3 linked regions of the Drosophila melanogaster genome follow. The protein of the gene in region 1 interacts with the protein of each later gene in a pairwise test. Each region holds a gene or a part of one and is shown on either strand. Other genes may lie near its edges.

Region 1 (6,444 bases):
ACGTGCACAGGTCTCCGTTTCAGCTTAACCGACATGGTTGGGGCGAGTTTCCGATGCGCATCCAGCTATTTTTCCAAGAGCACTTGCAGCAGAAACCCGTGCAACTAATGCACACGGTGGTGCTGGATAAAACAATGTGTGGACTGCACACGATGGGCGCAGAGACCACTGTGGAAATATGGCTGAGAGCAAAACAGGCGATAACGAAACAGAAAAGCGGCAAACCTCATCCTCCCCATGAACAGGAGACTGCAGTTCCTGCTCCACCTCTGGCTGCTCCGAATGTTTTAGAGCCTTCGGTTTTCGCCTTTCCTGGAGAGTCATGCAAACCGCGCACCATTTCAATCACTCAAAATAAGGAGGAACTTGATGACAATCTGTTTGCTGGTATCAACAAAATTGAACTCAGCGACGACATTGAGAAAATTGAACCAACTGTGTTGGTTTCAGAGCCCCTGAAGTTAAACTACAGTCCAAGAAAGCAGCCACCCACTCCGTCATCGCCTCCTAGGACTCAACTTCGGTTAAATGCGGCTCAGGTCACCGCTTCGAAGCCTTCTGTGGTCTATCTGCCAGTAAACGGCCGAAGTCCTAGGCAGGAATCCTTGCCAGAAAGGCAGCGGCAGGAGTTTTCGCCAGTAAAGCACTATCCACCGGCATCTCCGCAGAGAGCGTGGAAGGAATCCTCGTCGGATCGGCCACCAATAAAGCCTGTGCCCAATGGCCATCACCAGGGCAAGAAGAATGTTGTGTTTCAGAGAGCAGGAAAGCTGTACATTATCGATCCCTTGCAGCGCAAGCTTAAGCAGGCTGCAAAGCAACAATCCCTGCTGAAACCACAATTGAGTCTTCTTAAGCCACCGTCAGAAACGCGATGGCATATGCTGCAGTGCATGCAGCACGATCATGGGTACGCCAACATGAGCGGCGAGATGGAGGAAAAGCCAATGCTGTTACCTCCAATTGTGGACACTACCATACAATCGCGACCCCGAAGGCTGGAGCACATCTTTAGAAGTGCACAATTCCGAAATATGCGCAGTGCTGTGGAGTTCCTGCTGAGCCGCCTCCCGCTTGCGTCGATTGATCAGCAAAAGGAGTATCCATTCACTTGTATAACCCTCGAAGAGTTCCACAATCACACTGCTCTAAAACAACGTTGCTTTGAGTACCTGCGCGCACGTATGCTCCGTCGCTGTCTGATGCAGCACCACGAGCTGCATAAGTTGGACATTAGTGGAAAGGAACACTACTGGAGTTTACGGGAGATAGTGGCGTTCGCCAGGGTTCATGGTTATACGCCAGCTCTCAAAGATGTTTTACCTGTCGTGCATGAAAAGAGAAAACAAAAACTGAGCGATGAGGAGCAACTGGCTCGGCGTGTTCAGGCGCAACTAAAGGGCGAGCCCCAACCGCAACTGTCGGCCTATAGCAGTCTCAGCTCAGGCAATCGGCTGGAAGCTTGGATAACCAAGCAATCCGATCGTCTGCTTGGTCATGATCAACAGATGCGGGATAAGGAGTTCATCGATGTGTTGGGTGTGGACAAACCTCATCCGCTTGCGTCCAGGTTAACAAACTCAGCAGATGTATCTTTCCAAATGGTGAATCATCGCCAACTACTTTATCTACCTCCGCCGAAGCACTTGGATTCGACCTTGCAGCTGGTCCAGGAAATGTGCAAGGACATTAATATCACACTGGAACCGGAGGAATCTCCGCCTGGCGTCTCCCAGCCACTGGCTCTCTCGATGCTCGGACAAGTGCTGCGCACTTTTATTGAGAAATTGGTGCGCCGCTCCTTGGCGGCGAAACTGCAACAGGAGACTTTGGAACAGTTGCCACCGGCGGCGGCCAATGCTCCGTTGTGTCTCCAACCTCAGGACATAGGCCGTGTCATCAGTCTGTGTTCCGAATTGGATTTCCTCGGAAACAGTCACTTGGGAGTTGCTCCGATAGAACCACAAATCTAATGTGCAGTTGCCATTGTTTTGAATTTATTTTTTATCAAGTCCGCGTCATAGTTCAAATTCTACTGGGATATTAGTTGATATCTAATTAGAGCCTTGTACTCGTTGGTAAGCATAAATCTAAGCAATAAATTAACTAAATTAATGTCCGAAGAAATGAATACTGCGTTTTTAATTATCAACGATTATCATATTTTGGACGAAATCATGAGATGAGTGGTCATTAATTTTTAAATTTTGAATATCTGGCTGAAGACTTTTAAATTGTTTTATCAATATAAATAATAATCGCTACAATTGCATATTTGTACGAAACATGTAAACATTTTTAAGTCTTATCAGCTATCTTCACAGAGTAATATATCTTTATAGTGCCCTAGAAGTATGCAGTGAAAAGTGCCGTTAACAAATTGAATAACTGTTAAAGGGCGGTTTTTTTTTGCAGCTCTTAGCATATCCATATGATTCTTCGACTATTATCGGTCGCAATCGCATCTCTTTTGGGGGCGCTCTCTTCGCTCTCCCCGCTCACCGATCGATTTCATTCATGGCGCATGCCAATGCCGCCAATGTAGGGATGAGGTCCATCTGTTTCTCTGGCTCTGTTTTCCTCAGTCTCTTTTCCGACGTGCGCGCAACAAGACCTAAAATCAAAGTGGAGCAGAGAAGAGCCCGCTTCCCGCGCTTGCTGCTCTTTAGATTAACTAATTAATTACTTGCCTGATATATAAAATGATTCACGAGTCATTATAATAATTATAATGTCGAAGCCTTCTACAGGCCATATAGCAGCTCCAGTACGTCTAAGATAATCTATGAAAAGCTTTTGGATCACCAATTTTGAATGCTATTTCTTTTCCTTTTTTTTTTGTTTCGTGTGTGTGCGTTCGTGCGACAGAAAATGTGGAGGCGCTAAAATGTTCTATTTTTATTTTGCAGTAAAATCCACAAGGAGATGCAAGTGTGTAGTATGTTTCAGCTTCTGTTGCGACGCCAAATTGCATTTGCGGCCAGCACGCCGCTCGATCCCTCGATCGTTTAGACCCCTTCATTGACTCAGTTTTCCTAGTGGTGGACAATCGGTCCACCCAATCAATATTTTTCGGAGCGCCACCCCAAGCGTTTTCCAATGATGCAAATCCCATTTACTCGGATTTTCAAAGTAATTTTCGTGCTCTCAACAATTGTCGCCGTCACAGGTACGTACATAATCTCCACCTGATTTTTAGATTCCAATATTACGGCCAGTATTGCCAGGCTCTCCCACAAAAAAAGCTATTTCTAGCGTCGAAAAAACTGGAAAACAGCTACAACAAATCATAAAATATTTGCAGTGCTGATTATATACTTGTTATGCTAAAAAACTAAAACTTCCTTGAAAACTGTGTAAAATCCTGTATTAGCTTTCTGTTCGTGGATGATGAATGAAGTAAACTTCAGATAATATACATATTTGTGAATTATTTCTAAAGATTTTTTTGAGTTTCATTTAAATACTGTCCTTATGAACAAACTTTGCATTCTTAAAAATTAAAAAAATTAGTAATAATAATACCATAGGGAGACATTTTTATGATAATTTCAAAAGTTGCCGCACTAAAAACTGAAAGCTTTTTGTACTTCAACTTGAGCTTTACAACGTTATCTATTCTGTATCTTTGCGATCACTGGAAATGTCCTGTTTTCTTAATCGCACACCTTCTTCTGTATTCTGCAGATTGTTGTTCGAGCCGAATCTTACTTCTCCGAGAGCATACGCTGAAAATTGTGCAGCATCAGCACAGCCACATGCACGAGCATGCGCACGAGCTGCAGCAGCAGATCCAGGAGACCGCGGTTGAGTTGCTCAATCGCCTGGAGCTGCAGCGCAAGCAACTGGAGGCCTCGGCCCAGGAGGAGGCAGACCAGCTGCATCCCGATACGGATCCCAATCCGGACTCGGGCGGCCAACTGCCAAACGCAGACGACTCCATTGCTGCGGATCCGGAACAGGATGGGATAATTCTCGGATCCAGTACCGACACCTGGTTGGCCAGCGAAAGCAGCACACCAATCACTGATTCCGAGACAGTGACAACACCCGAAACTGTTACCCACACCGGAGAACCGCCACCTGACCCCAGTTCGTCCAGCACGCCTGACTCCACGACTCCCAGCCCGAACGACAAGGAGACAGAGATTCAGATGCTGCCCTGCAGCGAAGCTTACAATACTAGCTTTTGCCTGAACGGCGGCCACTGCTTCCAGCATCCGATGGTGAACAACACAGTCTTCCATTCCTGCCTCTGCGTTAACGACTACGATGGAGAGCGGTGCGCCTACAAGAGCTGGAATGGTAGGTACTCTACTCTAGCATAGCCATCCATTCACAGAAGTCTCTTCCTGTGTTGTATGGAACGGATGGAACTAACGATATCTATTAGTCTGTACCCAGTACATGGTAACTAAATGAACTCATTGATCATTGCAGGTGACTACATCTATTCGCCTCCAACAGCGCAGCGGAAGGTCCGAATGGCGCACATCGTCTTCTCCTTTCCCGTACTCCTCATGCTGTCGTCGCTCTACGTTCTCTTCGCAGCCGTTTTCATGCTCCGCAATGTGCCGGATTATCGCCGGAAGCAGCAGCAACTACACCTGCATAAGCAGCGCTTTTTTGTCAGATGCTGAGATTTAGAATTTGATTTGGAAACAATTTGGTTTCACCTATATAAGCCTCCTCTTTGTTGGATGGCAAATTCTTGTTGACCATATTTCTTTACGTTGCGCAGCGTAAAATTAACGCTTTAATTTATTGAATACATTTAGTGTACTTAGTAGGATTTTCTATTTAGTTGCAAAAGACGCACAAGTTAGTATTTGCTTTTCTTTATCATTTCTTAGTTTCGTTTGTTTCGCTTTTGAAGCTTTCGTTGGAGCTTTTGTAGTTTGTTTGTAGTAACATTTTGTTACGTTAAATTAACCATTACGAAATATAATGTAATCTTAGCGCTTACTCCAGTTACCAGGACAAGTGATTATTTTCGTAACACTCTGTTACATTGTGTATATTGTAAAGAAAAACTATTTTGGTAGTGTATTAAAGAAGAGGATTGGGACTCGACTCGAAACAGAATTAAAACATTCAAAACATTGTTTCCTTTCTGCGGTTCATCGTATCTCGTATCTCGTTTCTATCTCTCTCGTTTTTTTTTTTCAGCCGGCGGATATGAGTGAAGCACGCTTTTGGGTTTTATATTTTATAATATATATTTTATCCAATATTTCGTCCAAAAATTCTTTACAAATTTCTTCGAACTTACAGTTAAATGTATAGTAGAAATTATTCAAAAAATTCTCCTCACTTTCATCATTTCATCGTATATGATTTGTTGATTCTTTCGCTATCAAGATCATCAATATGAGAATGGTATGTATGCGCTTGTGTGGTGGATGGTGTGTGCTTGATGGGTGATGGATGTGTTTTTGGGGACTTAACCCGATCTGGAATTGAGAGGCATCAATAAAAAAAACTATTGATTCCTGCGCGTGGGTGGTGTTTGAGTGGGGCGTGGTGATTGGTTGCAGTGGTTGCATTGGTGGCGTGGATGGTGGTGTCGCGTGTAACTCGGACTTTTGCTTGCGTATATCTTGGATTAGGGATATGAAGTTCGTACAAAAATTATTTAAAATATGTAAATGTTTAAAAATGTATTTTTGCTTGTTTTTTGTTTTGTTTTGTTTTTATCTCGTTTATCTTGTAATTGTTTGTTGTTTTACGTTGCGTTCTTTTGTTGTTGCTTGTATCGTTTGTTGTTTTGTTTTTAATAATATGTAATATTATATATAATAATTATGAGTAGGATTATTCGCATGTAACGGGCAGTTGTTCCTGTGTTGTAACGTCTGCCGCGGCGGCATTCTTCTCCTTCAGATCCTTGGCGAGATCCACCTGTGAACAAACGCAATGGAAATTATTAGTTGTTTATCTGGTCAAGGCTTTTGCTTTGTGTGTTGCATAAAAAAAAAATTATTAAAAACTGAAAGCACAACAACAACAATTAAGGGGAAAGAAAGTTCGCGACAATGACAAAGGCGCAAAAACAAAACGAAATAGTATACAAAATAATGTATTTAATAATAAGCGATTTACGAACTGTGTGTGCGAGTGTGTGTGTATGTGTGTAGTGTTTTTAACATTAAGGTACAGTTGTGTATTTATGGTCTTTGGTTTTAGTGAGAGCCAAGAGTTACGACAGCCAAACAGATATTGAGTTAGGACAGAGCGGGGTATAAATGGGTTGGGTTTTGAATAATTTTCTGTTTTCTAAATTTGTATTTTGGTGTGCATGTGTGGAGGATTAGGATGAATGCGTTTTAGGTTGTGTTTATGGACTTGGTATCTTGCGGTTAATACAATGCAGTCGCTATCCTCGGTTTAGTATTACGTACTTCATTCGCTTTATATCACCAAAAAATATCATGCAATCCCCGA
Region 2 (3,597 bases), on another chromosome or scaffold:
TCCTAAGTTGAAAAGTGGAATAATGCGCCTCCTACTTACTTCTTAAATATATTCATCTATATACTTATATATAAATGCATATATAGTCATAATTTATTATACAAATATACATTTAAAGAATTCAAAAACCCCAGAAGCAAAACTAAACTTAACTAAGGCGGAATCCAAGTTCGTGCAAGCAAAGGCAAATAAAGCAACCCAAGTTGAACGAATGCTCTATCGAATGCACTTTCGCTCTATCATATTGATGTTATATTTCTAATTCTCCTGTGATTTTGCCAAAAACAAAACAAAAAAAAAAAAAAAAAAACAACAAAACCAATCGAAATGCAACAAATCGAAATATGAAGTGCTTATGATGAGAAAGGACAGATGCGCGGGGCAGCTAAGCAACCTGCCCGAAGGAGGTCTCCTCTATTGACTTAGTCTTATTTACACGTTGTGTACTTTTTATATATTTATACATACCTACTTGTACTAATCGAATGTTATAACCTACGTAACGTATTTTTATATATCTTGACTAACTTGATAACACCAGAGGAAGGCGACGTTTGCCAAGTTTCTTAAGTCTATCTTAACCAATTTCTAACGCCACTTAACTCAAATTAATCAACGATTCTCACGCAGAACGTAGAACGCCTCGAACGTTTTCTAAAATACGCTACATTTTGCAGTTTATAACGCGAGTTAACTGAAAATCGAATAGTTATTATACATCAAAACATACATATGAAGCAATGCCGTGCGGTGATATTGCAGTAACATTTTTTTATACCTAATTATACTAGTTAAAGATGCAAGAAAACCAAATAGTAAAACGCATGTTACAAATTTTACAATTAACAAATTTTTGCACACTCGCCACTCTCAATTCGTTAGCTAATCAATTAAATTCCATTGCATTATTCAAAGTAATCGACTCGAGGTCGTATCTCATTGTAAAATGGTGTAGCCACAAGTTGGGAACCCATCGATAGATAGGCCCGCATGGATTGCCCAGTTAGCTGGCCAGTCGAAGCAATAATAAGCGAATCCTTCAATAAAATTATAATTATACACTAACCAACAAAGGTTTTCTTCAATTGTTGTTGCGCTGGTGGAGGAGCTACAGTACAATATGAGATTAGATAAGGTCTGCGGCAAAAGCTAGCCTGCTCACCCATCACCACCATGAATACTCCCGTCCAGTTTAGTTGTGAAATAATCGGCGGTCTGCAAGTTACTCTGCGATTTTGGAAACATGTGGAAGCTGGACACCAAAGGAGGAATCATCTGCTCGGGCTGCCTGTCCATAGCCTTTGCCATAACCTATCTGGTTTTGATGGACGATTACTTCTGGAAATGTAGGCGCATATACATACCAATCTTGGATATCTTTGCGATGCATAGAGCTATTTCGTTTCAGATGGACTCTACGAGATGGGAATACACATTTCGGCGCTGCAGATCTTGGGAAGCGTGGTCCTCATCGTTGGAGCCATAAAGGTTAGTTAGGCACACTGTGCACAGTCCACAACACTCTTATCTCTTATCTCTTTGCTCTGCTCTTTGCTGCATACAGCAAAAGCACAAGTTCTTCGTGCCGTGGATGATAACCACAGGATTCTTTTTATACCTGATGGTGAACCTGTTCATTTCACTGATAGTCCAGGGCACAGCTTGGATCTTCGGACCATTGATGGTCGTTCCGTTCACAGGTGAGGAGTTAACGCAGCCAGAGATTGGACAGCCAATTAACCAAAATCCTTCACTTTCAGCCTATCTGGGCTGCGCCCTGTACTCGGTGCAGAAGGCCTTCGACAGGATGCGCAAGGAGGAGCCACCGGCATATGCCAGCTTGTCCGACAAGAAGGAGTTCATCAATCACATATAGATACATATATAAGCAATTTCAATACAAACAAAAAAAAGATTAAAGGTAGATCAGATAGCTGGAAAATAAAAGCTCATTTTAAGTGCTATTCAAACGAAACAAACCCACAAGAAATCGGTGTAAATTTAAACTTTTCTAAAGTTTATTACAATTTGCAATGGGAACTATAAACTTTAAGGCAATCACTTTTGTGAACTATTATTTTCAGTGTGCTCTGAAAATATATTTGTTATCTTTTTTCTGCGAAATTTCGTTTCCAGCTCACATCTCTGTTATCTCTGACAAAGGTAATTCTGTTTTTTTTTTACTTTTATCATTTGGCTTTTAGCAAAGCTTGTTTTCTATGATGCACAATTTTATTATCCCTTTTGCGGTGCCTATATATCCCACAAAGGCTTTTATGTATATGCGTTGTATATAAAGCAATGGCTGATTAGATAAGTATTAAAAAAAGCTTTTTAGTAATGGAACAATGGATCATTTGCGAACAAAACGCCCATCGAGGAGTTGGAAATGTGGAAACCGGACTCCAAGGCGGGCATTATTTGCTCCGGGGCTGCATCGATCTGCCTTGCGATCGCCTACCTCATCATATTCGCCAACTTGAGGGGTACTGAACGGGGGTCAAAGTTCAAGAGCCAGCACATCTAATACCAGTTTCCCCGCAGAATTATCCTACGCATTTGGAGTTCACATAGCGTCCATGCAGATTATCAGCAGCGCAGTACTCATCGGCGGAGCCATCAAGGTCGGCCATACTCCCAATGCAACTTCCAATTTTTCACCCACATTCTCTCATCGCAGGAGAGGCACAAGCTCTTCGTGCCCTGGATGATCACAACCGCCATGTTCCTCTACTTAATGGGTTACTCATCCATTGTGCTGCTGGCCATGGGCGATTGGTTAATCGTCATGTTTTGCGCAGCGCCAATGATAGGTACAATATAGAGATTAACTTCGTCCTTCAATAAATCCAAAAACTACTTTCAGGCTGCCTCGGAATGGCATTCTATGCGGTGCAGAAGGCCTTCCGCAGGATGCGCAAGGATGGGCTTCCACCGAAGTATGCCGACATGCAAGTCAAAAGTATTTTGGTGAATCCCATATGATGCATTTTGCCATTTACAATTGTTGGTTTATCAAAAGCATGATGCTTCTGAGATATGGTTATATATTTTGTCTTTACTAAATGCAATAATTATATATAATATGGTGAAGAGCATTTTTAGTGGTGTTATTGTATTTATATATTACATTCTATAATATACAAATTAATACTGAGAGTTTGATTTGTTGAAATTACTTTTCCATTTGATTTACCATCAATATTTTTATGATTGTTAAATGGAAATTCTATTAAGCCTTATAATTTGAACAGAAATAGCTCAAATAATAAAAGCTACATATTTTTTAAAAATATCTTAAGCTTAGCATTTGGAAATTTAGAATGACGGCATTTTCAAATATCCCGCTCTTTGCAGCCCTGGTTGATGCTAATCGATTCAATTCTGTAATGCCGATAAGCTATGTACCAAGCAGCAAGCATATGTGTATGACCTTTCGTGACCTTGGTTATGCTCATAAGAAAGCCGCTTTGTATAAGAACGCAGGTCGATATATGAAAACAAACCCTTTATCCACCAAAAAGTATAAAGTATATATAAGCTATATAGTTTATATGGTCTGAGTTCAATTGGTCGTTATGTGTATTTATGTTGTTT
Region 3 (5,714 bases), on another chromosome or scaffold:
GATTGGTTTTAAGTGCTGGCTAAAAGGCATTTTCAATTGTAATTGCTGCGGCTTTTAGGCGAATAAACGAGGCAGAGTAATGAGCAAAAATTAAAAAACAAAAGAACACACACACACAATCATTCATACGAACCAAGAAGGTTTGGCTTGGCTGCGCTTTGGCGACGCCTAACGGCATTAATCAAAAGACTGAAGACACAAACTTGGCAGTGCCTCAAAAAGAGCAGGGAACACATATGTACATATGTATGTCTGTGCGTATGTGTGAGCACATCGTTTGGAGTGTTTTCTATTTATGACGAACCGCCATAAAAATGATGCCAAAAATAAGCGCTTACTCGCTATAGAAGCGTGCGCTAATAGGCCATCATTTAACTGTAAGGCGTGGCAAGTGTTACAATCGCATTTGGCCAACAGGAAGTCGAATATGTAATACCAACAGACAAAACAAACAGCCCACCCCTAGTCTAAAAAGGAAATAGCACTGAATCTACTTATAATAATCTTGGAAAGGATGCCAATGTAGTATTAAACTTTTAAATCGTATTATATTCTTTTGGCAGGGAATCCAAGCAACAATTGGCTTGTGTCCAACTGAGTAGTAAAGTTAAGTCTGCCTGTTACTATTATAATAGAAATCGAATATTGAAAAAAAAAAGGGTTTAAGAAACCTAATTGATGAAATAACTCAATCATCATTTATTTTTCGAGGTTCATCTCTAGAACAGCCTTTCGTAGTAAATTCCGTAACCATCCATCAACATAATTATGGGCTTCACCTCCACTCCAGTTAATCTCATATATTTCAAAGTTAATGACGTTGTCATAGAACATCTAACCAAATATATTCCCACAGCTCGGATCCAAACAGAGTTGTAGCTAGGCAGCCACTACAGAATCATTGAGAAATCAATGGCCATTTGGTACACGGTTTTGGCACAAATCAAACTTGAAATCGCACCCACGTCTAGAACGAGGCGTTGAACCAACCAACCATGTGGGTGGCTGTCCCGATGACGACGACTACGAGATTTGGCTGGCCGTGTGGGTTTGCAAGGCAAAAAGCGAAATAAGTATATACGAATGTATATTCGGACAGCAAACAAATCGAAAAGTGTAAAAAATGCCAGACACCTACGTGCACATCGCATTCTGTGATATAGATACACCGATTTGTAGCCTACGATACGTACACTTTTGCCCATTCAAAGTCGAAAATTTCGGCCATTACGTAATGCCCTAAACTAGGTGTGCTAGCTGGCCCTCTTCTGCCATTTAAAGTCACGACAACACTTTCGATATTTACCTGCTGACCAACTGAGTAAACTAAGAAGCGGATTGGTCATTCCCATTACCATTACCATTCCCATTCCCCTTGGCCAATAGCACCACCAATACCATTATCATGACCATTCCCATGACCTTGCCGCCAGCTGAATCTATAGAACTCGCCGAGTAGTGGGGCTCATTCCACTCCGCTGGCGAGTGCAACTAATTAGGTTCATTGCCAATGTCAAGTGTCAGTAAATGACATCAGCCACGGGATCACTCATAAGTCCGAGGAGCAATTCATTAATTTCCACTTTTTGCTGTCCCCGCTGGTTAATTTATTTCATCCAAGCCACGCAGTTTTGTCACTGAGACAAAAACACAACAATGACATCTCTGCTTAAAATAAATTAAGGTACAAATTAGTTTGCGGCAAAGCGGTGTATTTAAGTAGTTAATTGATGTTTTAAGAGGAATTCCATTGAAGAGTTACTAGATTAGCTACGTCAACTGTCTTTTGTAATATTAGTCAGCATGATTTTCTCGCACTGTATTCTCCTGTCGGGGCGTTAAAAAAGTGCTCAAGCCACAACTCATCGCTGTGCCGAGCAAGTGATGAGTGATGTCATCCCAGAGTTGTTTACCTCTCCGAAAAGTGTTTGTCAATAAATAGTATTCGTATTCGTATTCAAAATCTGCATACCAGCCTCGCTCAGAACTGGACGTGCTATGATATATGCGATCTGTGGCAATTGACTTGTTTAGAAACGCAACCGGATTTCCTATAATTAAGTTGGTTAGACGGTCATTTGACGCCTCGTTGTCTTCGCAACGCCGTGTGGAAAAATGCCAAAAAGGCCATTCAGACGGCCAACTTTCGGTTTGCACAAATTGTTTGGGTAAAAGTGCGACAAGTGAAAACGGGCGAACAATTGACAATTGATCGTGGCAGATTTCATTGCTGTGATTACGTCCATTATCTTCTGGGGTGGCTCCCACGTTTACACACATGTTGGCCTTCTAACGTTTGTGAAAGACTTGCCCAAACAGCCACATTCACGACAACCACTGGCATCCACAGTACTGCCCACCAGATCTGCTCGCTTTTTGCCTGCTGTTGCCGCGGCGAAATTCCAAACTAAGTGATTTCTGTTATTTTACAGACTCTTTTTTTTTGTATTATTTTCGCCTTTTTGTTATTTTTGTATTCAATTTTCCTTTTCGCTCGCTTCGTTTTGGCTTGGAAGCGACGAAACCAGTTTTGCTTTATAGCCAGATTCAGAGATATTCGCACACACACATTCGCTGGCGAAACCCCCCGCATTTTTTTTTATAAATTCTCCTGCTGCTCTCTGGAGCTTTGAGCTTTGGCCATGACGTCATCGTTTGTTTTGGCCAGGCCAAGAGAGCAGAGCCGCCCAGATCGACCAGCTAAGCGCAGTTCCAGTTCGCTTCGGGCCGCGAGCGCGTGCAAACGAAACTAAAACTGATACTGAAACCGAAACTGAATAGCATAGCTACAACTTACAGCGATCAGAAGTATCTCATCGCGATCTATCCATTTCTCCCGATCAGTGTTTCGAACGCGAGTTACATCTGTACATACATATGTGCGAGTCGCAGGTGAAGTGCAGTGACGTGCAGTGAAGATGGACGTCAAGGACATAAAAGGCGCCAAGGTGACGCATGCGGGGCTGCTCAAGCACAACTCCGATGGAACCACCGAAACGCAGAAGATCACCCATGCCGGTCTGGTGGCCCGGAGTCCCGAGGGCACCGCCGCCAAGGGTATGAACATACGGGGCAACGAGGACCTCTGGGTAGAGATCCAGGCGAACACATTCCGCAACTGGGTCAACGAGCATTTGCGTGAAACGGGAATGCAGGTGAGTTAAGCCATAGATATATTGTAGATATATTTACATTCCGATTATGCAACACTTTCTAACCGACTGAGTAATGCCTGCCGCCGACTGAATATCTGATCGATCAAGCGCAAAAAACAATTACCCAATCAATGGGCTAGCTCCGTTGAATGTGGAATTCGTAGAACTATTGATGAAGCAGGGCCTGAGAATCGATGAGTGAAATACAAAACGTTTAGATCTGGAATTTTAGCCAGGAAATGATTTGCGAAGGCAGTTGCACATAGAAAAAGTGGCACTGCTTAATGAAGTGTAATTAGGGATAGAAAACAAAATATGAATATGTGAAATAATGAACACTTTTTAATTGAACTCTATACAAATAAAATTTTCGATTATTATAAATCGCAATTAAGAAGCACTTTAAAAGCAAGGTTTTTGAAGTTCATATACTGATCCCATTTAAGCTAAATATAATCGCATAACGAGCGCATTGACTGGTGACAGAACACGTAAAAGTATAAATCGCCATCATAAACTGGGGCTTCGAGCTCTTCCGCGAGTTTCCCTAAAAGGCCGGGCTCATAAAACTCGGCTCAATCGCCCACGCAGATCTTGAACTCCAATGGCAGCAACGACAATTACATTAACAATGATGCCAAGAGTACTCACACGGACTTATGTGTACTGCCAACAATGCATTTCATTTGTCCAGGGACTTTTGAACTGTCACTCGCTTCGACGGATTTTCTCACACGCACCGCACTGAAACGACCTGAACCGACCATATTTGGCCGGTTGAATGCCAAGGCCAACGCATCGAGTTCCCATTAGCAGTTACAATACACAAAACAAGCTAAAGCTTTTGTGCGCGATCTTGCCCGGTTTCGAGTATAAAATTCGGGGTTTTATTTTTTTTTTTTTACTTTTTCGGTTGGGCCAAAAACGTACATACATACGTGTATGTGTACATATGTGATGAGCAAGGCTGAAGACCCCTTAGTAAACAGCGCTAATTGTGACCTGGCTGGCGTCTATTTGGGTCACCAAACCAAAACGAGTCATCCAAGTTTGCGTTTTTTACGCTGTTTACAATTCTAGTTCATGCGTATGCGACAAATAATATTGCAATCCACTTTGTATGACAAATGCATGTGCAAACAAAAGGGAAATGCTTTGATGGGAGCAGATACACGGAGAGAAATATTCAAAGTGACTGCATTGTATGACCTTAACGTTTTAATGCAGTGCAACAACAGTTGCGGCAGGTAGAATTAAATTATCTCAAAATGATTGCCACCATGGAACTGTCGTAATAGAATGACTAGACATTTTCTGACATATAGCAAAAATTTATATGCAAATAAAAGTACATATATATTTTGTTAGGTGAAAACGCAACTCCCAACGAAACTCGAGTTCATATCGTAAAATCAGAGGAATCTTAAAAATTTAAGGGCGGAATAACAGCAGCGACAAATAACAACCTGCGGCAGCTTGTTAGAGAGCCATGGAGCAACTACATATGTGCGATGTGAGATTTTTATGGCATCCAATGAATATTTTCCTAGGCACAAACAAACAGCAACAGACACGCGATTGTCTCCGTACCCAGTTCTCCAGTTTTTTGTCGTATTTTATTTGTTGAGTTGAGTTGAGTGGAGTGGAGTGGAGTTCCCCCCAGTCGAATCGAATGCCGACAGCAGCCAGATAAAAAGCTTTATGTCAAATGCTTAAAATCGCGCACAATTGGTTGCACCCGGGCGGAGAAAGCCGCTCAGTTCGGAGCAGCGAACCTGTTGGGTTCCCAAGCCCATTCTTGAGCTCCATGTGCCATGTTCCGAGATCTGAGCTCCATGCTCCAAGTTCCGAGCAAGCGGTTTACCTTGCAAAGTGGGCCACCAGTTTGCGGAAGGGGCGTTGATTGCTCATTAGGAAGGCTGCCAGTCAAGCGACCTTCTTGCATTTGCGCAGACATGGTAGGCGTTTCGCACATTTGCTAATCTCCATTGGGAACTATGTACATATGTACTACAGCAAGTCTAGTAATCTCAACTAATGCATAGCTATAAAGAAAATGCTGCTAGAGTCATTAAATAAAGATAAAAAATCTCTTCTTTCGAACATTTTTTTGTTTTGGGTTAGCATGCTTTTTAAAATTAAATCTATATAGAATGGAAAAGTAAAAACTACCCACTTAATAAAAGTACATTTTGCAAATCCATTAGACCGTAAAAAGCTAATATCATATTAAATGCAATTATAATAATAAACCTATTATGGAATGCACTCCCATCTCTTACTTGCCACATTACTTGCGTTGCTAAACGGAATGTATTCCAGCAGTAATCTAATTATTTGCCACAAACTTTCCCATTACTATTTCTAATGATACGGAGAAGTTAATGCAAATTCCCATTGTCTCTCAGGTTCATGACTGGGCCACCGATTTCTGCGATGGCACTTGTCTGTGCGCCCTTGTGGAGAATCTGCAGACGCGTCCACTGAAACCCTCGTGGAATCGCCGACCCGCCAACCAGCATCATTATTTGGAGAACGCCACCACGGCGCTGAAGTCCA

Evidence for each region.
Region 2: the proteins of grk (region 1) and CG12824 interact in a two-hybrid assay, tested with the Drosophila melanogaster proteins (one large-scale study listed by BioGRID).
Region 3: the proteins of grk (region 1) and jbug interact in a two-hybrid assay, tested with the Drosophila melanogaster proteins (one large-scale study listed by BioGRID).

What each region holds. Positions count from the first base shown.
Region 1 is NT_033779.5:8,429,738-8,436,181, reverse strand, and holds grk (gurken), read left to right. Parts: upstream 1-2,583; 5' UTR 2,584-2,767; intron 2,768-2,909; 5' UTR 2,910-3,099; coding exon 3,100-3,169; intron 3,170-3,687; coding exon 3,688-4,305; intron 4,306-4,440; coding exon 4,441-4,640; 3' UTR 4,641-5,096; downstream 5,097-6,444. Other genes in the region: D12, read left to right, coding at 1-1,973; Akap200 (A kinase anchor protein 200), read right to left, coding at 5,815-5,901. UniProt on the Drosophila melanogaster protein: Critical for defining the anterior-posterior and dorsal-ventral axes of the egg. May signal directly to dorsal follicle cells through the receptor torpedo (top).
Region 2 is NT_033778.4:7,788,013-7,791,609, forward strand, and holds CG12824 (uncharacterized protein), read left to right. Parts: upstream 1-2,355; 5' UTR 2,356-2,389; coding exon 2,390-2,486; intron 2,487-2,544; coding exon 2,545-2,624; coding exon of another isoform or gene 2,625-2,680; coding exon 2,681-2,813; intron 2,814-2,866; coding exon 2,867-2,985; 3' UTR 2,986-3,097; downstream 3,098-3,597. Other genes in the region: CG12825 (uncharacterized protein), read left to right, coding at 1,244-1,346, 1,409-1,488, 1,565-1,700, 1,761-1,876.
Region 3 is NT_033778.4:22,734,046-22,739,759, reverse strand, and holds the start of jbug (jitterbug), read left to right. Parts: upstream 1-2,714; 5' UTR 2,715-2,918; coding exon 2,919-3,155; intron 3,156-5,563; coding exon 5,564-5,714.